Linked DNA regions of Canis lupus familiaris. The protein of the gene in region 2 interacts with the protein of the main gene of each other region in a biochemical or structural test. Links are inferred from orthologs where the notes say so. Each region holds a gene or a part of one and is shown on either strand. Other genes may lie near its edges.

The links.
Region 1: the proteins of BCL2L1 (region 2) and BIK interact in a test that uses a peptide from one of them, tested with the Homo sapiens proteins (3 studies listed by BioGRID and IntAct, with this or other methods). The link is inferred for Canis lupus familiaris from reciprocal best matches to the Homo sapiens genes BCL2L1 and BIK.
Region 3: the proteins of BCL2L1 (region 2) and PMAIP1 interact in a biophysical measurement, tested with the Homo sapiens proteins (3 studies listed by BioGRID and IntAct, with this or other methods). The link is inferred for Canis lupus familiaris from reciprocal best matches to the Homo sapiens genes BCL2L1 and PMAIP1.

The regions. Positions count from the first base shown.
Region 1 is NC_049231.1:23,388,842-23,392,512, forward strand, and holds the start of BIK (bcl-2-interacting killer), read right to left. Parts: upstream 2,812-3,671; 5' UTR 2,732-2,811; intron 1-2,731.
Region 2 is NC_049245.1:21,644,912-21,648,483, forward strand, and holds the end of BCL2L1 (bcl-2-like protein 1), read right to left. Parts: intron 2,268-3,572; coding exon 2,130-2,267; 3' UTR 2,106-2,129; intron 703-2,105; 3' UTR 616-702; downstream 1-615. UniProt on the Homo sapiens protein: Potent inhibitor of cell death. Inhibits activation of caspases. Appears to regulate cell death by blocking the voltage-dependent anion channel (VDAC) by binding to it and preventing the release of the caspase activator, CYC1, from the mitochondrial membrane.
Region 3 is NC_049222.1:16,559,399-16,563,049, reverse strand, and holds the start of PMAIP1 (phorbol-12-myristate-13-acetate-induced protein 1), read left to right. Parts: upstream 1-781; 5' UTR 782-783; coding exon 784-841; intron 842-3,651. UniProt on the Homo sapiens protein: Promotes activation of caspases and apoptosis. Promotes mitochondrial membrane changes and efflux of apoptogenic proteins from the mitochondria. Contributes to p53/TP53-dependent apoptosis after radiation exposure. Promotes proteasomal degradation of MCL1.

The DNA.
Region 1 (3,671 bases), on a different chromosome or scaffold from region 2:
GAAAAACAGGTTTACCCATGCAGTGCCCGGCAAGGCCCAGCGGGTGTTTTGTATTGTCACATCCTAATATTGACACTAGGAAAATCAGCTGTCCTCTCCAAGCCCGCCTCAGGGCGCTGACCACCAGCCCTGGCCTCTCTGCTGCCAGCCTCAATGCCAACGAGGAACTGGGGGCCGTGGCCTCATTTGCTTACATTCTGTATTTCTCCCAGGGCCTGGCCCCGGCCAACCAGCAGCAGGACAAAGAGACCAGGGAGCGGCTCCACATGTCCACTCTGGACCCACTGCAGGCTTCCTGGTGGCTGCCAACAACAAAACCCGAGCGTGCCGGCAACTTCCTTGAAACCTCTTGGAATTGTTCTGAGCCGAGAGAAAAAAACAGCCGGACTCTCGTGGGATCCACTATGTTCGAGGCAGGGGAAGCAAGAAACCATTAATTGTCTACAAACTTAATAGGTCCACTACAAACAGGATGCTTTCCAGGGAGAGGGGAAAATACCTCCGAGGTCAGCGTGGAGACCCAACCAGCGGATGGAGCCATCCTCCGAGCACCCCCTTCCACAACCTAGCCCAGCAGGAGAGGAAAAGAACGGGCTAATGCTGCTCTCTTGGTTTCTCTGCAGCTCAGCAAATCCAGCTTTTATACCTGCCAACCGCCTTGTGAAACTTGGGGTATGTAACAGGCATGCAACCCTCCGTCCAGCCTCTTCCCAGTGGGCCCTGGCTGTGCCACCTGCTGGGGATACTCCGCTGAGTGTGACATAGGTCCTATGGTCCTCATGGAGCTGCAGGCGAGCGTCATGCTAAGTGAGCACAAATGGGTAATTTCAATCTGTCTCCAGTGTCCTGAAACAGTACAATGAGTTCCTTGCACAGAGGATGGGCTGCACCTTTATAGAGGAGGTAGTCAGGGAAGACTTCTCAGAGGAGGCAAGCAAGCCAACGGAGCCAGGGAAGGATGACACCCGCAGGGACGGTGCTAAGTGCATCACTCCATTTGTTTTAGGCCTCACGGGATCCCTGGGGCTTGGAGAAACACCCTTGCTGACACAGTTCCCACCCTACCACCACCACCACCCCAAATCGCCTGGCAACCATCTTAGAAGGTTGATTAAATAGGATTCCCCTGTGGTGGGGGGGGGCACATTCTGAGGCACTGACTGAACAGCCACATCCTGGAAGCCAGTCTCCCCAGGTGCTTTAGACACTTCAAACCAAAAACAAGCATAAAGAAATTTGTAGAGCATTGACGCTGGTAAGAGCCCTACCCCACAGCTAAAGCCGGCAGTGACAGCCCTGTGACCTTGAGGTTCAAATGGTGGGAAATCCCCAAATCCTGGAGCGGGAAGGGAAGGGTGGAGGAGAGGCCAAGCTGTGGGCAAGGGCAGCACCAACAACCAGCGCTGAGGCTGGAGTCCCCGCCCAGCCATCGCCTGAGACAGACCACTTAGGGAACTAGTGCAAAAACCACACCAATCAACTCCTGAAAGGTGCCACTGCCAAGACGTTACCCCAAAAACATGCCCAAGAGAAGCAGACACAAGGTTAAAGCATTTGCGCTGAGGGAAGCCACTGAAGAGCCACCAACACCAAGTGGGTGTTCACAGCTGGTGGGGACCTCATGGACCCATTCTAAGGAATGAGCAAACTGAGGCCCAGAGGCGGGAGCAGCCCCTGTAGGACAACACAGCTGGACAGTGGCTGGGTGGAGAGCTTTGGCCGCGCTCCCAGAAAACAGCTCCGGGCTCTTGGTTTGCCGGCGTCTAGGCGGCCTCCTCCTGGAAGCGAGTCTCACTTTGACCACCTGTGAAACGAAGCCTCCAGTCTCCGGAGAGGGCCAGGATGCGGCTCACAACCCTCCCTTCCTGGGGAGCGGGCGAAGCCTCGGGGAGCAGGCCCGATCGGGGCCGGGCCACAGTGGGTGCGGGGCGGGGTGATGTGCAGCGGCGCCCCCCGGGGCGGCTCATTCCAGCCAAAACTACACTGACGACCAACGACCCACGGCAACACGGCGGTTTGGCGCCCAGGCGGCCGGCGGGTTCGGCGGCGCGGGGCTCGGCGGCGGGAGCCCTCGGGGTCGCGGGAGGGACGCGCCCGCGGCCGCTGCGGCGGGTTTGCAGGGCGAGGCGGGGCGCACCTGCGCGGGGCTGGAGCCGGGGCCGGGGCCGGGGCAGGGGCAGGTGCGGGCGGCGGCCGCGCCCCGCTCGCCGCGCAGTTCCTGTTCCGGGCGCCCCCGCCGCCCGCGCCGGAGCCTCTCCCGGCCCTTCGCAGGTGCGCGGCCACTCGGGGCGCCCCGGGGCCATCTTCCCGGTTTCGGCGGGGGGACCCCCTCCCCCGCGGGGGCGGGAGCCGGAGCCGGAGCCGATGGCGGCGCGGGGGGGGGCGCCCCATTACGCGGATGCGGGGACGGAGGGCCCGGGGGCGCCGCGGCCGGGACCCTCGCAGGCGGGGACCTGGACGCCCCGCCGGACAGGGGGCGTCTCGGAGCCGGGGGTCCCGGGAGTGACACACCCAACAGCGGCCCGGGACGGAACCACCTGGGCACAGGTCCCTAAGCAGCCCCCGCTCGGCACCCTGGGCGCCCATCTACCGGGCTGGGCGCGGGGGCGCGGGGTGCAGGGGCGCGGGGCAGCGGGGCAGCGGGGCCGCAGGGCAGCGGGTGAGGGGCGCGGGGCGCAGGGCGCGGGGCGCAGGGCGCGGGGTGCAGGGCGGCGGCGGGACCTGGACTCACCGCGGGTCCGGGGCGCTGGAGCCGGGACGCGACTGTGTGCGGCCGCCGCGGGCGCGCGAGCTTATAAACCGCCGGTCGCGCTCGGGCCCGCCCCCGGCCGCCTCCCCGCCCCCAGCCCGATCCCCGACCCGGGCTCGCCGCCGCCGCCGCCGCCGCCGTGCGCTCCGTGGCCAGGGTCTCCAGGCGGGTGGTCCCATTCGCCGTCCGAGCGGGTCCCGACCGCCCGGGGCTTTGGTCCAGGCCATTTCACCAATGTGGAAACTGGGCGTCGGAGAGGACCCAGCGACAGCGGGGACCCCCCCCCCCCCGTCATGCTCTCGGTGCTAGCAGCTTCGGGAGTTAGGTTTTGTTTTGTTTTTCTCAATTTTCTTTATTGTGGTGAAATACACACGACACGATTTACCGTATCAACCAGTTTTAAGTGTGCCGCTCAGTGGTGTTCAGCGCCTGCATAATGTGCAACGGTCGCCACCTCCCATCTCTGTGATTCCATCTTGTGAAAACAAACTATAAAAACTCCCCATTCCTGGGGCGACCGGCTGGCTTAGTGGGTGGAGCCTACGACTCGCGACTCTCGCTGTTCTGGTCATGGTTTCGAACCCTACTTTGGATGTAGAAATGACTTAAAATAGATATATGTATATATACATATATATATATACATATTTTTTATATATTTTAAATACTTTATTTACTTATTCATGAGAGACACAGAGAGAGGCAGAGACACAGGCAGAGGGAGAAGCAGGCTCCATGCCGGGAGCCCGATGTGGGACTCGACCCTGGGTCTCCAGGATCACGCCTGGGCCAAAGGCGGTGCTGAACCGCTGAGCCACCCAGGGATCCCCTATATACATATATTTTTAAACCTCCCCATTCCCTCCTTCACCCCTCGGCCTTGGCACCCACCTGGAATTAGGTATATTTCCGCCTATTTCAC
Region 2 (3,572 bases):
TGTGGAGTCTGCTTAAGATTCTTTCTCCTTCTCCCTCTGCCCCTCCTGCTCATGCTCTCTATAATCAATCAATCAATCTTAAAAAAAAAAAAAAAGTCCGACTCCTTCCTATCTCCTTCCCCACTAGGTCCTTCATAAGTCTTGTCCTTCTTCCTTATGGTCATTTAGCTTCTACCTTTGCCCTCCAACAGCCAGACTGTCTCATCCTTATATTTTGTCTGTCTCCCAAGAATGCGAGTTCCATAAAGGAAGGGCTTTGTTCACTGTAGAATCCCCAGTGCCTAGGAGTGTGCCTGGGCAGAGCAGGACTCAGTAAACACTTGCCAAGTGGCTGTTTTTTCTCCTAGAATGTCAGTTCCTGAGGGCAGAGACTGTGTCCATCCATCCATCCTGCTCCCACATACCCATTGCTTAGCACACAGCAGGTGTTCAATAAAACCCCCATCAAAGAATAGGTGGAGAAATTCAGGCCCAGGTGGAAGAAGGGACTTGTCCAAGGCCCTCTCCTGAAGGCAGCAGAGCCAGCAGTGATGCGCAGCTCCCCTGCAGCCCTGTTGCCAACCGCACAGCCCCTCCTTCCCCAGCCCAGGGCACACAAGAGCCCAGGCCCTTTGCTCACTGAGTCAACACAGTTTATTACTGAACTGCACTTTCACCTTCACACAGACTATTTCAAAGAGCTGGAACAAGTGTGGGGGGGAGTTGGGGGGGGGGACAGGTGCCCCTTAGGAGCCAGGACCCCCAGCTGGCTTCCCCAGACCAGGGCAGGGGAGGGAGCATCAGGCCGTTCAGTCTCCGGGCACCAGCTCTCCACGTGCACACGCACAGCAAGCCAGCAGCTCCTCACACATAAATACAGACACGCTTAACAAAAATAGTATATCATCTTCACAAGGAATAAAAACTAGTCTCAAATATGTACAGCAGAGAGCCCAGGATGGCCAGGGATAGGCCGGGACCCCCAGGGATGAGACAGGCCATGGGTGGAGTAGAGGAGAGGGAGGCCTGAAGGACTCCTGGCCAGGCCACTCTGACCTTGGCAGCCTGGCACCCCAGGCTGAATGGGAGTGGGGCATATATTTGTTTGGCCAGGTAGGTCTGGCCCCTCTTGCCACCCCCACCTCCACCCTGTGCATCAGGGTCTCCTTCCTGCCCTTCCTGCCTGAGGTAGGGAAGACTCTAGGGCTCCCACAGCTGCTCCCTGTAGCTCCCCTTCACCTCTGGGCCAAGGCCCCCGAATCCCTGGGCTCCATGGGCAAGTAGCTCCAGGCAAAGATGCCACACGCTGATCTTCTTGCAGGAAAGTCAGGCAGCTGAAGCCATCAACAGCTCTGGGGCACCTGCCTTGAGCCCAGTTGGTCCCTTAGTCATGGTCATGGGAGCCAAGGGAGGGGAAGGGGAAAGGAACTGGGGTGGTGCTAAACTGCAAGGGCCACCCCAGCTTTGGCACGGGGTGCTTCCTGCAGCTACAGCCCTCTTCCTCCTGGGTGGGGCTGGCCTCTATCCAGGGGCCTTTGGAGGACATTGGGATTGGGGTCAAGGACTTTGGCCAGGCCAGAGGTGGGGAGGAGGTCCTGGTCCTTGTTTCTTTATCCCAAGCAGCTTGAATCCCTAATTAGTCAGAAGTGGCCCCTAAGTGGCTCTTGAAAGGGATGAAAGGAAGGGGAGCCTAGGTTCTGGAAGGGATAGGAAATGATTAATTTTGAGGCCACAAACATCAAAACGAAGGCAATCTAGTCTCTCCTTCTGGGGAAAAAGGTCAGAAACTTTCCAGCTACCTGGCAGGAAAGCATTCTTGGTGAGGCTAAGGGGTTTTCCACCAATTAGGCAGGGACTCCAGCCCCCAGCCACAAACACCCCCACACCTGCCAGCTTCCATGGGGCAGATTTTGGGGAAACCTTGTGGGTTCTGAGGCCAGAGAACTGAGGTGTGGGGAAGGCGGCTCTCACAGAAGCGTGGTAGATTCTAGAAAACTAATTGCGGGAGACCTGGTCTATGCCCAACCCTGTGATGGGAAGGTGGCCGTAGGCTGCATGTAGTGGTTCTCCTGGTGGCAATGGTGGCTGGACAAAGGGGTGTGGTAGGGGCAGGACAGGGGTGGGAGGGTAAGTGGGTGGTCAGTGTCTGGTCATTTCCGACTGAAGAGCGAGCCCAGCAGAACCACGCCAGCCACAGTCATGCCTGTCAGGAACCAGCGGTTGAAGCGCTCCTGGCCCTTCCGGCTCTCGGCTGCTGCATTGTTCCCGTAGAGTTCCACAAAAGTATCCTGCAGGGATAGAGAAGAGAAAGGATGGTGTTGTTTGAGTTCTATGACAATAATATGGGTGGGTGGGTGGGAGAAGGGGCCACCTGCATGCAATAGTGATTTGAAAAACTATAGCCATCCATGCCCACTCTGGGCCAAGTAAAGGGTTCATGGCTGCCCTCCTTCTTGCCGCCCAGCTGGGGATGACCAATGCACTTTATAGCTGACATAAGGGTGCAAAGCTGGGAAGAGCTTTGTTCAAGGTGAACTGGCTAAAAAGTCATACTGGAGAACCTGCATCAGGAAAGAGATCAGCAGGGGCAGGGAAGTAACAGGAGGCTAGGTGGCTGGAGTGCAGGGCTGGAGAGAAAGGGATGGGGAGACACCATGAGCCACAGCTGGTCCATGAGTGGTCTAGAAGCTGAGGAGGAGGGTGGAGTCTGTGCATAGTGCACACCCACTAGGCCTTAGCTTTCCTGCTGATGCACCAATGCAACTAAGAGAGGGAGGGAGGGAGAGGGGACAGGGCTAAATTCCCAGCGATTCAGGGGAAGGCCAGGTACTATTGGCCCGAGGCTCCTTCTCCCTCTGGAGAAGGGAGGGGAGGCTGGTGGGTAGACACTGAGGGCAGAGTAGAGGGATACCTTCTACATGCCGGCCTAGGATGGGATCTGTGAAGCCCTGTCGCTGTCCCCCACCCCCTGGTGTGTGTGTGTGTGTGTGTATGTGTGTGAGAGAGAGAGAGAGAGAGAGAGAGAGAGAGAGACACACACACACACTCTGGGCCCAGAAGGAGGTGAGCAACAGCCCTTAGCAGTCAGGAGGGAAGCACATGATATGGGGAAGGTGGGGCTGTGGGTTAAATTACCCACCCCGGGGCGGAGCCAGCGTGTGGGGCACCCTTTAATGAGTAAACTTTGCACCCCATTTGTCCTGTAATCCTCTCAGTGATGCTGCAGTGCAGGCCCTCTCTCCCCATTTACAGACTGGAGCCTCTGGGCCTAGGGAGTATGCGTGTTTAGTGTGAATGGATTACCGATGAATGAACAGAGCCCATGATTTTCCTCTCCACTAAGAGCTCACAGCCTGGGCCCTCATTTCCACCTGGTCCCAACTGGCAGTGGTGGCTGCTCCCTCAGACAACACCTGCCATCTCCAGCTGGTTCCAAGTTCCACCAGGCCAGTTTGCTCACTGTGAGTGAGACCTGCCTGGCCTTACTTCTGGTCTTGATAACCTTGCTCAGTCCATGCTCCATATGGAGGATTTTTAAAAACATAGATCAGATCATGGCACTTAAAGTCCTCCAACAGCTTTCCCTTGAACTT
Region 3 (3,651 bases), on a different chromosome or scaffold from region 2:
CACCTCCCAAGTCAAACCGCCGTTTGCTGGCCGGCTCCAGGGTTTCAATGTGGTACTTTCGTCACGTGCCCCTGGCATCCTCTTTACTGTTATGGACGTTTTCTCCATTTCAAGCCCCGCAGCCACCCGTTCCCTCCGAGTCCCAGCTCTCCTTTGCTGCTCTCTTTCCGGGACCTGCCCTGGGTCTCTAATTGCCGGTTACGATAAGGACCCAGCGCCCTGCCCGCACCTCCACCGCCTTCCCGCTAGGAGGGCCTGCCCGGCTCGCGGCTTCCCGACTCCGCCACCGCCGCAGCTGTCCCGGGGGGGGGGGGGGCGGGGGGGCGGGGGGGGCCCCCCGCCGGGATCCCCCCCCCCCCGGGTCCCGGCCCGCGGGGGAAGGCAGGGGCTGCGGAGCGGGAGGGTCCACGGGCCCGGGCAGGTCGCCCCGCAGCGACCTCGGGGGCGGGGCGGGGGCGGGGGCAGGGGCGGGCGCAGAGCCAAGTTTCGCCGCGTCACGGTCCCCGGGGCCGCCCTATAAGAGGAGGGCGCCGGCGCGCGAACGCGCAAAGCGAGCAGCGAGCGGCGAGCGGCGAGCGGCGAGCGGCGACCGGAGCGGCCCCTCGGGTCCTGCCAGCGGTGCCCGTGCTGGTCCCGAGCTGCCCGTGCTGGTCCCGCGGTGCCCGTGCTGGTCCCGAGCCGCCCGTGCTGGTCCCGCGGTGCCCGTGCTGGTCCCGAGCTGCCCGTGCTGGTCCCCAGGCCCAGGGCGTCGTGCGCTGCAGCTCCCCGCGGCCGCCGGCGGAGATGCCCGGCCGGAAGGCGCGCAAGAGCGCGCAGCCCGGCCCCACGCGGGCCCCCGAAGGTGAGGAGCCGCCGGGCCCCGGGGCTTCCCAGGCTGGTGGAGGCGTCGGGGGACGCGGGTCGGGAGGGCGGCGGCGGCGGGGCAGGTCTCCCGCGCGATGCGTCGCGGCCCGGCCCCGCCCGGGGGAGGGAAAGTGCAGGGGCGCGCAGGCCGCCGCGGGGAGGCTGCGCGCGGGGGAGGCTCCGGGAGCTGTCCGGGCCCTGGCGCCCCCGGAGCCGGCCTCTGCCTCCGCAGGGGGGCCGGGGCTCGCTCTGAGGGTTGCCGCCCTCGGGCCCCCGCCGAGCAGTAGGCTGGATCCTCCCTTCCGCGGAGGACTGGTGGAGGTCAGGGAGGCCAGGACGGCGGGGGTCCTGGGGAGTTAGGGAGGCCGGGACGATGGAGGCCCTGGGGAGTTAGGGAGGCGAGGACGATGGAGGTCCTGGGGAGTTAGGGAGGCCGGGACGATGGAGGTCCTGGGGAGTTAGGGAGGCCGGGACGATGGAGGTCCTGGGGAGTTAGGGAGGCGAGGACGATGGAGGTCCTGGGGAGTTAGGGAGGCCGGGACGATGGAGGCCCTGGGGAATTAGGGAGGCGAGGACGATGGGACGATGGAGGTCCTGGGGAGTTAGGGAGGCGAGGACGATGGAGGTCCTGGGGAGTTAGGGAGGCCGGGACGATGGAGGTCCTGGGGAGTTAGGGAGGCGAGGACGATGGGACGATGGAGGTCCTGGGGAGTTAGGGAGGCGAGGACGATGGAGGCCCTGGGGAGTTAGGGAGGCGAGGACGATGGAGGTCCTGGGGAGTTAGGGAGGCCGGGACGATGGAGGCCCTGGGGAATTAGGGAGGCGAGGACGATGGGACGATGGAGGTCCTGGGGAGTTAGGGAGGCGAGGACGATGGAGGTCCTGGGGAGTTAGGGAGGCCGGGACGATGGAGGTCCTGGGGAGTTAGGGAGGCGAGGACGATGGAGGTCCTGGGGAGTTAGGGAGGCCGGGACGATGGAGGTCCTGGGGAGTTAGGGAGGCGAGGACGATGGAGGTCCTGGGGAGTTAGGGAGGCGAGGACGATGGGACGATGGAGGTCCTGGGGAGTTAGGGAGGCGAGGACGATGGGACGATGGAGGTCCTGGGGAGTTAGGGAGGCGAGGACGATGGGACGATGGAGGTCCTGGGGAGTTAGGGAGGCGAGGACGATGGAGGCCCTGGGGAGTTAGGGAGGCCGGGACGATGGAGGTCCTGGGGAGTTAGGGAAGCGAGGACGATGGAGGTCCTGGGGAGTTAGGGAAGTGCGGACAGGCGGTCCTGGAGAGTTACAGCGGTACCGGAGAGTAGTTCTGTTTCTTAAGTCGTTAGTAGTTGCAGAAATGAGAGTTGGTCTCCAGGGCTTTGTAATCCATCCACTGTCCTCCTCCCTCGATATAACCCTCCCCCCTTATAAATCTTACCAAATAAGGCAGCTATCTGCTAGGGGGGTGGGTGGGCAGTAGCGGTGCATATTGCATCAGATAGTAATGGTCCCTTTAGTTTATTAATTTATTTGAGAGAGCACAAGCAGGGGGAGGGGCAGAGGGAGAAGCAGACCCCTGGTTGAGCCAGGAGCCCTACTTGGGCCTCGATCCCACGCCCCTGAGATCATGACCTGAGCCAAAAGCAGAGGGTTAACCAACTGAGCCACCTAAGCGCCCTACACTTAGTTTCGTTTCACAGAGTCCTTGAGGAGTGCAGAGGAAGTGATGCATTGACAATCTGGCCCTGACTAAGTTGGCACCCCGTGGCTCCTACTTGGGAGGCAAAAAGCTTCGCCCACCTTTTGTGATGTTAAAGAATTCTGCAGTTTGGGGAAGGCCTAACCTGAGCATTTATCTTTGTTCATAATAATACAGTACAGCAGAAAGGGACCTCTTATATTCCATTAGGTAGTAATACTTTCTTTTTTCTTTTACTGAGATGTGACATATCACATTGCATTAGCTTTGATTTATGTATGCATCAAATAATGATGATTTCGTATGTGTATATTGTGTGATTGCCAAATAGGTTTGCTTAACATCTCACCTCATGTAGTGTCAGTTTTTTATTACTACATTTATAGAAATATAATTAACAGAAAGATTAAGGAGACCACCAGCAGCTAGTTCTGTCCACAACCCCCCCCCCCCCACCGCCCTTTTAGTGACAGATCATGTTTTCTCCTAAAGCCCCCTCGGAAGACAGGAGGGAGGGGGGAGGGAGGGAGGAGGGCTGGAGGGAGGGAGGAGGGAGAGGAGTAGGGAGGGAGTGACGTGAGGGACGGAAGGAGGAAGGAAGGAAGGAAGGACGAAGAAGGACGTAACAGAATTACGTCCTGTCCTTAACTTCCGTCTCCTTCCTTCTTTCTTTCTTCTTTCTTTCTTTCTTTCTTTCTTTCTTTCTTTCTTTCTTTTCTTTCTCTCTTTCTTTCTTTCTTTCTTTTTCTTTCTTTTTTGGAATCCTTTTTCTTAAATTAATATTCATTTAATTACAACATCTCACTTCTAAAAAGCAGTAAACTTGTAAATTAAAATTCTTCTGCTTCACTCATAAAGGCAATGGATTGGTACGAATTCGGTTTGTAGGAAGAAATTGGTTTAATTGGCAAATATAAATTGCTAAGGTATTTTAGAGAATGTAGACTTACTTTTGCTACAAGGTTTTATGAGTCTTATGAGAAAATTTCAGTCTTTTTCAATGAGTGTAAGAGCACGTTTAGATTTGTCTATGAATGAAGGCATAGTCTGAGCTGTGAATTACTGCCATTTAAAAAGTAAATCCTGGGGTGCCTTGGTGGCCCTGGTTAATAAGCATCTGCATCAG